3 linked regions of the Nothobranchius furzeri genome follow. The protein of the gene in region 2 interacts with the protein of the main gene of each other region in a pairwise test. Links are inferred from orthologs where the notes say so. Each region holds a gene or a part of one and is shown on either strand. Other genes may lie near its edges.

Evidence for each region.
Region 1: the proteins of tnip2 (region 2) and nfkb1 interact in binary tests that used the Homo sapiens proteins (3 or more experiments, as listed by UniProt). The link is inferred for Nothobranchius furzeri from reciprocal best matches to the Homo sapiens genes TNIP2 and NFKB1.
Region 3: the proteins of tnip2 (region 2) and stk11 interact in binary tests that used the Homo sapiens proteins (3 or more experiments, as listed by UniProt). The link is inferred for Nothobranchius furzeri from reciprocal best matches to the Homo sapiens genes TNIP2 and STK11.

The regions. Positions count from the first base shown.
Region 1 is NC_091741.1:65,301,416-65,305,063, forward strand, and holds part of nfkb1 (nuclear factor NF-kappa-B p105 subunit), read right to left. Parts: intron 3,013-3,648; coding exon 2,881-3,012; intron 2,797-2,880; coding exon 2,686-2,796; intron 2,495-2,685; coding exon 2,348-2,494; intron 2,275-2,347; coding exon 2,145-2,274; intron 2,071-2,144; coding exon 1,956-2,070; intron 1,806-1,955; coding exon 1,604-1,805; intron 318-1,603; coding exon 148-317; intron 1-147.
Region 2 is NC_091744.1:17,108,080-17,112,411, reverse strand, and holds the start of tnip2 (TNFAIP3-interacting protein 2), read left to right. Parts: upstream 1-1,497; 5' UTR 1,498-1,700; coding exon 1,701-2,024; intron 2,025-2,142; coding exon 2,143-2,436; intron 2,437-2,562; coding exon 2,563-2,652; intron 2,653-2,789; coding exon 2,790-3,035; intron 3,036-3,119; coding exon 3,120-3,236; intron 3,237-3,340; coding exon 3,341-3,610; 3' UTR 3,611-4,332. UniProt on the Homo sapiens protein: Inhibits NF-kappa-B activation by blocking the interaction of RIPK1 with its downstream effector NEMO/IKBKG.
Region 3 is NC_091751.1:56,737,865-56,742,182, forward strand, and holds the start of stk11 (serine/threonine-protein kinase STK11), read right to left. Parts: upstream 2,885-4,318; 5' UTR 2,127-2,884; intron 1,243-2,126; 5' UTR 554-1,242; coding exon 270-553; intron 1-269. Other genes in the region: sugp1 (SURP and G-patch domain-containing protein 1), read right to left, coding at 4,134-4,160. UniProt on the Homo sapiens protein: Tumor suppressor serine/threonine-protein kinase that controls the activity of AMP-activated protein kinase (AMPK) family members, thereby playing a role in various processes such as cell metabolism, cell polarity, apoptosis and DNA damage response.

The sequences.
Region 1 (3,648 bases), on a different chromosome or scaffold from region 2:
GAAACACAAATGCATACTTGCTGCTCTTATTTTGTTAAAATAATACTATGACATTTGATTTCATAGAGGAAATATTTACCACCAAAAAAGAAACAATATGACGGAAACCCCTAAACAAGAGCTTTCATCTGATTGGTCGGTATGTACCTCCAGCAGCAGGCAGCCGGCCAGCGACACGTTATCCATCTCTGTGGCAAGGTGGAGGGCAGTCCGTCCACAACTACGCTCCTGAGCCTCCACATCAGCACCACCCTCCAGCAGCTCTCTGAGAGAGGAAAGCTGATTGGCCAGAACTGCCAGGTGTATGGCACACATACCTGTAACCATAGAGACACAGCACATGAGACCTTGTTTTTCCTTCTGTGTGTGTGTGTGTGTGTGTGTGTGTGTGTGTGTGTGTGTGTGTGTGTGTGTGTGTGTGTGTGTGTGTGTGTGTGTGTGTGTGTGTGTGTTAGGGTTGTCACGATACTAAAATTTCAAACTCGATTCGATACTGGAAAAGAAACTCGATACTCGATTTCGATTTATTGAACAAGTTTATTAAAAAAATAACATTCCTCAATTTATATTGCAAAAATTAAATGTTAAGAATTAAGTGTATTAAGTGCTTAAACCTTTCAAGTATCAGCATTTTTTTAAAACGTGCATACAAAAACTGGCGAAAGTTAACACTTAAAATCATGTATTGCCTCACTATATATACACTATTTGCAGAGTGATGTTTTGCTGCTTAAACTCTGTTTAAGGTGCATTTTTGTCATAAGATGTAATGCCATATGTTTTGTTCTGTACTTTTGAACAATTCTGTTGGTCAATAAAGGGAGAAAACGAATTTCTCCACAGTAGGACAAAGGTACATCTACCGGTAATCTTAATAAAAACAGATTGGCGCACGGCAGTGACGTCATTAAAAGCGCCGGTTAGATTAGCCGCGGCTAGTCTGTTCACGCCTAGAAATCCCAGACTCGCTCCAAACGAACAGGGGAATCACGTTAATGATTCCTAAAAAAAACCTTTCGACATTGAGATGTTTTGGTGCAGACAATGTCTTATTTCGAGGCTGCACCATGGGTGCCCGTCCGCACCCGTTATATGGATATACACTGATGGCGATTCGCCGATGGATCTAAACACCCCGGGGAATCCAAGTAGCACCAAAGTTGTCAACTTGAGTAAACAAACGTACTGCATGCTAGAAATTAAGTCAGGGTTGCAATAAACGGGACTTTTCCTTTAAGCATATATGCGCAAATATACAACTACGTGTCGGACTTGGTATGCTAATTAAGTTGGGCTGTGAAGCGCCTCCCAAATTCGCTGTTTATGTTTTAGTTTATTTATTTGGCAGACAAAACTTGGATCGGAGACAACTTGCGTGGGAAATTGCAATGTAGCCATGCGGCATCTTCTTCTTCTGTTTGTCTGGGAGGCAGAGGCTGCTTTACGGCATCTGGCTGTCGTGCGTGTCGGTGTACTTGAAGAAGGCTGTGTATAATAGTCCATAATATCAATAACACAGGGATGGAATATCTAATTTAGATACCACATTTAGTATTGATTTATATCTAGGTATCGATTTTTTTGACAACACTAGTGTGTGTACCTGCAGAGTTGCAGCACTGCAGCAGCTCTCTTAACTCTCTGCGTCTCAGTAAGAACCCCACCATGCCGCCTCCTTCCTGCTGAGCTGCCAGGTGCAGCACTGTGTTGCCATGGCGATCTGTAAGAGTCGGGTCAGCACCAGCCAGTAGCAGGGCCTCCACTGCCTCCTTCTGCTGAGTAATCACCGCCAGGTGCAAAGGAGTCTGGAAATTGTAGTGAATGTTAAAAGGCTGCTTGAGCTTGGTTACTTTTCTATAGTTTAGATTTCTGCCACTTAGTTGAAATCAGAGAATTTTAGTTTAACTGTGAACTGAATATCCAGCTCTATCCATCAGCTGTTAAAGACTCAGTACCTGGTACAGGTGATTCCTCATATTGAGCACCTCCTCTCCAGGCAGAGCAGACACCACCTGCGTCAGACTCATCAGCGCATCCTGCTGGCTGTGTAGAACAGCCAGGTGCAGCCCACTAACACGAGAGAGAGGCTTTAATTTTACAGAGCAACAGTTACAGGTCAGTGAGTGAGTCTGAATCGGACTGACGTGTCTCCGTCCTCGTCCTGTGCTGCCATCAGGGGGCGCTGCGGAGCCAGCAGGTAAGCTGAATCACCTGTGACAGAGTAGTGAAAGAGCGCATCCAGCTGCCTGCAGGTCACGTCAACCAGCTGATCCTCTACAACACAGAGTACAGATCAAATAAAACATCATAAACTGCAAAAATCACAGCTGATGGGAAAGAAACAAACCTCTGTCTGCTTCGTGCTCCATTCTGACTCTCTCCTCCTCACTCTCCCCCTCCTCCAGCCCTCCAGGCATGGCTGGAGCTCTCGGTCTGTCCCCTGACGAGTCATCGTCTGAATCATTGTCGTCGGCTGCAGTGTCGCTGTCAGAAGCTTCAACACAAAAACACATTTATTTATTCCTTTAGGAACGTATGAAATTCCAGGTGTCCCTGTTTGTGGGAACGCTGTAAAGATCTGCACATTGTTGCAGAAATAAAAACATCAGTCAGTCCTCATCCTTTATCCTCTCCAAGTGGATTGTTTGGTGAAAGGAGGTTTTGAGTTTTGGTTTGATTCCTTACCATGCTTGGTGCCTCCTCCTCCTCCCAGACCAGCTGAGTATCCAGTGGAGAAACCTCCTCCTCCTCCTCCCCCTCCCCCATAGCTATAAGAGGCAAAGCCCTGAAAATATCCTGAAAAAAAAAACAAAGACAATCAGATCACAAACGTTTCTCTGATGAAAACAAAATGGCGCCCTAAAAAGTTTTGGACTTCACCTCCTCCTGTTGCAGGACCTCCTCCTCCTCGGTACAGCCCTCCTCCTCCTCCACCACCTCCTCCTCCGTGACCACTGAAGTCCTGGAAGTTTGGCAATGTCTTCTGCCTTTTCCTCTGTACCTCTTCCTTGTCTGAACAGACACCAGTCTTTGAGCAAGGCATCAACCTCCCATCTCACATTTATGATCAACTAACTCAAAACGAACCGAGGAAGGCTGATCAGGGTGAAACACAGCAACTCACTTTAAAGTCTTTTGCTTTACTTTAGTCGATTTCACAGTAAAATGGTAACAGCTTGCTGCGAGGTTGGCTGCACTAACAGACAAGGATGTAAAATCAACAAAACCATTTTTTTTTTGTCCAAATAACTTTGATGGAGACTGATGACGGGGATGAACTGCCACAATCAATCAAACAGACTAGAAGCCCTCAAAGTCTCTTCGGATTTGCAGCAAAAGTGTTTTTACCAGCTAAGATTAACGTTCATATATTTAATGAGGAGGACAGGGACACGGATGAGTGTGTGTGACGTGTCGATGCTACTTATTGGTAATCCTAATGGATGGATGGATCTTTCACCACGGAGGATCCGCGGTAGCGTTCACTACAGTGAAATAATTATTTACAATTTTATTGCTCCAATGTATGATTACGTGTTAAAATTACGTTATTTCTTTAGTGTGAGCATCGCCGTTCAAAGATCTTCTCATTCCGGTGTGAGAGAAGCAGCTGAACCCGGTGACCCCGCCAGCAACAAAAACTGGTAG
Region 2 (4,332 bases):
TTTCAGTAGCAAAGATGACCCGCATAAATACAAAAAGCTATTTTTTAAAAATGTGTTTAAAGAGAACCAAAACCTATTCTAACCAACCTTGTTTATGTGAAAATGTAATGGACCTTTGGAGTTTTCCCATCATTAGCTCCTTTTGTAGGGTCACAGGTCAGATTTTCTCCTTTAGGATTTTCTAGTAGAGAGCAGAATTCATGGTTTCCACAATTACAGCAAGTCATCTAGGTCTTGAAGAAGCAAAGCAGTCCCAGACCATCATGCTACCTCTACCATGCTTGACTGTTGGTACTGTGATCTAACAGAAATCAGGCCTGGGTGCAGCTAGTGAATATGAACTCAGCTTTCCAAATAAAGTAGTTAATACATTTTTTTTCATGATCAGAACCAAGTTGGTTTGGATAGCTTTAATAAAAAAAAACTATTCATTTGAAGCTGCATTTTGTATTTACTCAAGTTTGTCTGATATTTAAAAATTTAGGTGTGAAAATAAAAGTGAAAGCAGAATAAATCTGAAATGGGGTAGATTTTTTTTGGCCACAGAAATTTACATTGCGTTTCCTGTAAAGATTAGATCAAACTCGCTATCATAAGAAATGCCTAACAAAAAAAGAGCATGTTTACTGATCTTTCATTATTCAAATAATGTCAGTGCATCAGAAACATGAGGTCATATGAAAGTAATCTCACTGATAACACGTTGCAAAGATTGGTCATGTGTTGGTAGTGCAGTTATGCTTGGATTCCATGTGATGATGAGGTTGGTTTATTAGTGGAACAGGTTTAGTGCTGTAAGAAAGCAGTAATGAACCATACGACCATTAAAAAAAAGACCATACAAAACTCATGTATCAATTTTCTGGTTTAGCCTAAATGGAATTACTCAGATAATAATAATAATAATAATAATAATAATAATAATAATAATAATAATAATAATAATAATAATAATAATGAGCTAAAAAGTATCAAATGCAGTGGGGGAAATTCACATGGACAAAATAATGGACTGTGAGGGGAATTCATATACTGAATCATCTGATGTGATTGGTAGGGACGGGATGTTTGGTAACTGGGAAACTGTACTTGTTAGCATCTATTTGTGTTGCCATATACTTTCAGGTGAAAGCCACCACCCAAATACTGGGTTCACAAAAAATGTAACTTAGATTAGCATTTTTTGTGACTCACGTGAATAATATTCGAAATGTGTAGAGTGGGGATTGTTCTATCAGGTGAACTCGTTTGGTTTGTGCTGAATGTTCTCGAATTTACGACGGCAGTGAATGCAGCAGTGATATCAATTTTCTGGTTGCCTAACTAGCCGACGCTAGCTAGCTGAAGACAGCAAGAAAGGGGAATCGTTTTGTGTTTTTGTACAAACAGCCAGTGAATTTGTGCCAACAGCCTGACAAGCCTCCACTTTTTTTTACCAACGGATCTCGGCAGTGAGTCTTTGAAAGCCAGGCTCCGTTTTGACGACGCTCAGAAAAGTCCGCGGGGAAGTTCCCTAGGAAATCCCCCAAGAGCGTCCGGGGATATTCTCGACACTGATGCGCCAGATCTCCTCCAGAATTCACCTTCTCGGTGTGTTTCTGAAAGACTCAGAGTAAGAGGCAGAGGCGTCAAATGCTGGATTATTAAAAGACTGAAACCGTTTTTCGCGAAATCTACAAATTTTAAGCATTGCGATTGCGATGGATAGCTCGAGTAGTTTGAAGGCGGAGAACGAGGCGCAGCCGAAGGACAAAATGCGGAGCTACAGCGTGTTAAACACTTTGTTTCACGAGACGAGGCAGGAAATCGAGCTTCTCAACAAACAGATCTGCGTAAAGGACAATATAATCGCAGATTTAAAGTCCAGGGTCGGGAGGCATGAGAGGATCTGCATGACGATGGGAGACGACGAGCGGGTGTTCCTCGGTCCCTCCAAGTCTTTGGTGGAGAGTTTACTGAAGGAGCTGTGCAAAATAAAACAGAAGAAAGATGATCTGGAGCTCAAGGCATCCTGTCAAGCAGAGGTAAAAAACCAGCAGCTCCAAAGGAAGCTTCAAATATGTAAAAAGCATGATTTATTTCTGTCATTTTCAGGAAAAAAGTTGGTTTCTCATACTTTCTTCTTTGTGTCCCCCAAACTAGGAGATCCAGAGGTTGAACCTGCAGCTCAGAGAGAAAGATCTGGAGCTGGAGAGCATCAGGTGTCAGCCGGACCACGACAAGGACCAGGAGATCCACAGGCTGAGGACAGCCCTGGAGGAGAAGCAGCGGGCCGAAGCCACCAGGACCGTGCTCTGCACGTCGCTGGCCGAAGAAGCTGACCAGCTGCGGGGTCAGCTCAGCGCCACAGTGAGGGTGTGCCAGGAGCTGCTGGGCAGGCTGGAGAAGAAGGGAGGAGACGGAGAAGAAGTGGAGGAAGTGTCCCAGCAGCAAAAAGTACAATTTCATCTTATTTTATAATATTTTTGCTCAATATATATATATATAAACAATATAAAAAATCAATGCCTTCTTTGCTCTTTTTGAGTTATTTATTAACCCCTTTTTGACTTTTTATTCCAGACGCCCAGCTCTTCTGACCTAAGTGCTGCCAAATCCCAAATTCATCAGCTTCAAGAGGAGAACCAACAGCTGAAGCAGCGCGTAGCTTATGTGCGTTTGTATTTTTGATTTCAACAGATTTCCCCCTATATTTCAGTGCAAAATTTTACTTCCAACCAAATCTGTTATCAGCTGCACACACAATTTCTAATGCTGAGCTTTGCTTCTTATTTATTTCCATTGTTTAGGTACAGAGTTTGAATTCTCAGTGGCAGAAGTATGACTCAAGCAGGGAGGACTACATCCGAGGGTTGTGTCAGAGGCTGAAGGAGAACACCGGGCAGGGCTCCGTCAGCTCAGTGTTGCTTCATCAGGAGATCGCCAGGCTCAACACTTTACTGGAGGAGAAAATAAGAGACTGTTCAAGGTTGGAGAGAGAGGTGGAGGAGATAAGGAGGCAAGGCCAAGAGCGAATCCAGACCTTGGAGCAGCAGGTTGGTATTAATGTAATATTAGCACATTTAAAGTGATCGTAATCGTTTTGTGAATTTTCAAAGTTGTTTTGTTTTCCCCGTAAGGTTTTGATTTATACAGACGACTTTAAATCAGAGCGAGCCGACAGAGCGCGTGCACAGGGTCAGATCGCAGACCTGAAGGAGCAGATTTCTCAGCTGAAGCAGCAGATCCACAAACAGGTGAGGTGTCAGATCGTCATTTAGATGCTTCTGTACAAGCATCCACTCATTTTTTTACTTATTACAGCCACGTGGCTTGACAAGGTGTTTGTAAATCTCTGCAGGGAGCAGGCAGAGACCTGGGTTCTGTGTGCCGTGTTCACATAGGACACAGGATCTCCTCGAGGCGAAGTAAGGACTCCTCAGAGCCTCTGCTAAGGGCTGCTGCTGAAAGGCCGCCGCCGCCTGCAGTGGACGCTGCTGCTGCAAACGTAACAAATTGGAACGAACTCCCAGGTCTGTCGGAACTACAGTGTCCGCACTGCTCCGCCAGGTTCAACGACACAGAAGCTGCAGAGTGCATGAACCATTTTGAAGAGTGCGCCCGGCTATAAACGAAAACCAGTTTTTGATTCTCTACTGAACACTGTAAAGCAGCACTACAATGCAGGAAGCAACCTGGGTGGAGGTTCAGATTAAATAACTGACATCTTGAGATGTGAACATAACCCCAAACTTTCCATTTTGCAAGAGAAAATGAGTTCATGGTTTTAGATCTGTACAAACACCCAGACAGAGTTGTCCCATGGCACTGCAGGAGATTACTGTGTTGGGGAGAGAAGATGCCAATGCAGTTTTTAAAATGTTATATACCTCAATGTCAAATTACAATCTTTTTGCACTTTTTTGTTATTTAGCCCAAAAAAAAACCATTGTGTTATCATAATGCGATTAAAATATTATTGATGCATAAGCTTCTTACTTTGGGTTTATACCTAATTGTTTATGTGGTGCTATTGTTAGTGTTTCTTTAAGTAAATATATTCTTTTAATGACAGATTTAAAAAGTCTAACTATATTAATATTTATTTGTATTTCTCATTGGAAAAGAGTGATTGTTTCAGTGCAATGTCTTGTTTTTATATCCAACTTAAGCCATAAATGTTGTGTAAACATGTATTTTTAAATACATGACAGGCAGAAATAAATATTTCAATCATTTTTAAAGCAGTATATGTAAATAATGCATCCAAACTGACATAAAATCATTTTTAAAGACTTAGTTTTTTTCCTGTAGATGTTATTTTTGTAATAAAACATGTTGTTTCCTATAAAT
Region 3 (4,318 bases), on a different chromosome or scaffold from region 2:
AAACAGTGATAAAGCTAGTTGTCTGCCAGGCAGCTATTAATAAATTATCATGTTTTCAAGTGATGATTTGAGCATGAAGTGTTGTTTGTATTGTTGTGCTGTTTTAAAAACCAATATGAAGAGAAGTTAGCCTAATTTTTTAACTGTGTTAACTCAAAATAATTAATAACCCAGCTTTGTAGTAGGTCTGATGCTACGGCGCTGCAAGTTTTTTTTTTTCCAAGAATGACAATCTATAACAGGCTTACAAAAAAATAAAAACAACTTACTTTTTCACATTGGCTTCTCCGTTGGGAATCCTCCTAAGCTTTTTCTTCTTCAGTATCTTCACAGCCCTGCGACAAAGTGTTTCCGAGTCCAGCATTTCTTTCACTTTGCCATAAGATCCTTCCCCTAGCAGATCTCCCATCAGATACTTTCCAATCAGCTTTGCCCTCTTCCTCCGTGGCTGATAGATCACCTCTGTAGAGTCAATGCGGTGAATGAAAGTGTCCATCTCCATAAGTTCGTTTTCATTTAGATAATCAAGATGCTGCAGCTCCCTGGCACTCATGACTGGTGGTTCTACAACCACAGCCTAAGCCTTACGTGCAAAAAATAAACGTTTGAAAACTGGCTATGATTGCTGCTGGGGTGTAATCTGCTGTTAGCCTTTCAGCACTGAACCGAGGGTTTCCATTAGAGAAGTTTTAAAATGCGGAAAATGCGAAGGAGAGAAATAAAGCCTGAGAACTGACGAAAGGTAAGAGAGAAATCTAAAACCTGTAAAAATTAGGGCTCATTTTAGACAGAAACTAAAAGAGGTGCAGAACCTATTGGCTCAAGTGCTAATTTAGTGCTTTAGACTGTGCATTATGAGCTACGTCTTTGATGAGTGCAGCTAAACAGAACTTCAAATGGGAAAAAAAAGGATTCTACACTATTATTTTCTTTTCCGACGGTCTAGGCTATCGTTTTATAGTTTAATACCATACAACTTTAGGTAAAGGAAACCAGTCTTGTTTCAAGGCCTTGCAGCACAGCATTTCTGTCAAAGGTCCTTGCTGGATGTCATAGTTTCCACCCGACACATAAGTGTTTATAGTTGGATTGGATCCAGGCATAAATTGACAACCAAAGCATGCAGCAGTATCAATCCAATCCCTGGTGTCAGTCAGGCTCCAGGGGATCGACTGAACTGTCCACCACGCTGAACTGCCCTCAGGTGTCCTCCATGTCACTACAGTTTCTACAGCCTGATGTCTGAGGAAAAAGGGCAAAAAAAAATATTTAATTATCAGAACAATCACTGATTGTTTTGCAAAATTACATTTGAGTAAAAATCTATTTACACATATTTAAACACCTGGGTAAACATCTTGTGATCAGACACAGGAACATGATCCTTTTCATTAATACAAACAAAAAAAACAACTTTGTCAGAAAGTACTGTGACACAGTTTTGTTAAGTTTTCTACTTAATTGGCTGATCACAACATATTTGAGGGACTTGCTTAAGAGTTTGGGCTTAAAATGCAAAAACTGAGCTTTCAAATAGGTGGTATTCACATCTTGAGAAAGGGTTGAGGAATTACAGCTAGAATCCTCTTGTATAAGGGCTCAAATGTGGACAAAAAACCTCGGGTATTTCTTAATAAGCCGTAGTTTAACAGTAACGTGGGGAAACAACTAAAAACAACAAAAATGTGTGAACACCTTAGAGCTAGCGGTTAGCAGAAAATTTGACTGAATGAATTAGCTTTCCAGTATTAACTTCAACTTATTCGGCGTGCCCCTTTAGAACAATCATGAAAAGTTTAAAACCAAAGTAACTTGTTTGGCCGGTGACCAACTGAGGGGGTGCGGGGAGACTAGCGAAACGTCGTCACACAACTGTAGCTAACGATGAATGATGTGCAGAAGCTTCATCAGACGTTACAATTAACCAACTTCACAAGAAGACGCGCGATATTATCCAACTATATCGCAGTGTGTTTGTCTGATAATAAAACCAAACTCAGTTCTAAAACGTAACGAGCTTTAAATTTCACCAGAAGGATCCAGCTAACACGGGCTAACGGAGACGCTCAGATTCCAATGCAATTTGCTAGCTAGCAAGCTAAGCAGCTACAGTAACCGGCTCTTACCTTAATCTTTATGAAGGTTATTTCTTTGTGAGGCTTAAATACTTTTAACGTGTTCGTCCTCGATTAATCAAACGTTCCGCTTCAGTATAACACAATATCAGTAAAAATTTCCTCACTATTCGTGCTACTCTTGCCTCTCAGGTTGTCGCCATCTTGTTTACCTCCCCCCCTAGCAGCCCCAACACGTTACTGCGTCAAATCAAAGTCCTCCTCCCCACCCCTCCCCTTCTGGAGCAACAACAAAACTGACCTGTCTGCTTTATTTTTACGTCATTAATTCCCTAAAAACGCACAGTAAAGAATACATTATTTTTATTTAAAAAATGAGTGCAATGTAAGTTAGACGAAAATAAAAATAATCAAAAAGAAAATTACAGGAAAATAACATCTTTTGCATATTTTGTTGTTTCCGCAGATTTTTTTAAATTTACATTATTTTCGTATATTGTAAAAAATTACTAAATTATCTAACTTTCATTTTTGTTCCTTTGCAGTTTCAACTATGTGAATTTATGGTATTAATATAAAACGATCAGGGCTTTGTTTTGAAAAATTCATAACATTTTTTCAAATCTGTGACCTTCTTCATAACTCACTAAAGCATAAGTGAAAAATGATAGTTAAAAACTAATAGGACAGTCTTAGTATAATATGGCGCAGCTTTATATTTTATTTTTTATAAATTCTGCAAAACTCCCCCACAATTCGTTCATTTCACCTTTAAAATTAAAGCACCTTTTGTTAATCGTTGTTTTATTTGCAAAAGTAAATGTTATTGTGCTAAAACTAGAGTCAAATAGAAATGCACCGATTCGTGTTTCGAGGGCTGATGCTGATTTCTGCACAGGTCTGACCTGCTAATATCAATTTTGGCATAATCTGCATTATCTTAAAGAACTATAATTACCAGAATTTATTTTATTTCAAGACCAGAAGTAAAAAATTTGGCATGGAAAATCTGTTTGCACTTTATTGCTGTTTAAAAGGGGGGGATCTACTCTTTGGGACTCAAATCAGCTGAATGTTGGGCGATTGGCATCACCAGTCATTTATTGAGTGCACTCCTACTTGAAAGCACTTATTAAAAACTCAAGCACGTTCAAAACCTATAAAATGGTAAAATTAAAGTATTTTTAAAGATTTCAAACTCCCAAAAAATCTCATCGACAATTTTTAGGAACTATTTAGGCAAAATAAATGAAACAAAACGTATCTATTGAAACCTGCATTTTGTAACACTTTAAAACCCAGTGAGTTTGCGCCACCCCTACAACTGATGTTTTTAACTTTATCAACCTCAGATGTTCCTGGTGTGGCCAAAAGGTGTCTCTTGCTTAGCTGGGGTCTCCAGGGTTATATTTATCCCATGTAAACCTCTCTAAGGAATGGCAAACTGAAGGTCTGATTTCACTGGTCTGTTATCCTCCTCACAGGTCGCTCCAGTCCAATCGTCTCTGCTTTACGGCAATGAAGAAATGAAAAAATACCAACGAGAAAAAGACAAAAACAGATTTAGGTTAAATTTTTCTAAAGTCAGCATTTGTTAGGACTTGGGTAACAATTTCAGATTTCAGTAAGATATCTTTTTTATTGTCATCACTGCAGCATACAATGAGAGGAAGCAATAATTACAGCACAGTGAAAACATCACTAGATGCACAAATTACACAGAAGAGTGTGTTCTTATGCAAAACTGTTATATAGTCAGGAGGGCAAAGATTTCTGAGGATGCAAAATGATGAGAGTAAAATCATCACAGAAACTAAATACAAGTTTTTATAAACTGTAACACGTTACATTATAAAGCTGAAATGCAACAAAAGCGTGAGCTGTGTTATTTTTGTTTTGTGGTAAACATAAAATGTAGCTAATCTGTTGTTAATTTTTGGATTTCAATAACTTCTCTGACACGTAGGACTCAAACATCTCCACAGCTAAAACGTTCAATTAATGCGCGAGCAGACAAGAGGCAGATGCAGAAACGAGCTTTAGAAGTGGTCCTCTGTATCAGTAATACGGCCTCCGGGGATTGTTCTGCAGGAAGATAACACAGCAGATTCAAATATAGTATCAAAGGACACTTAAACTCTGTCCACACACAAAAAATTCCTATAATTAAAAATGTGTGGCTGCATGATAACGAGATCCTATATGAAGTTTCAAATGAGTGCAAATGCAAATTAGAGCAACGT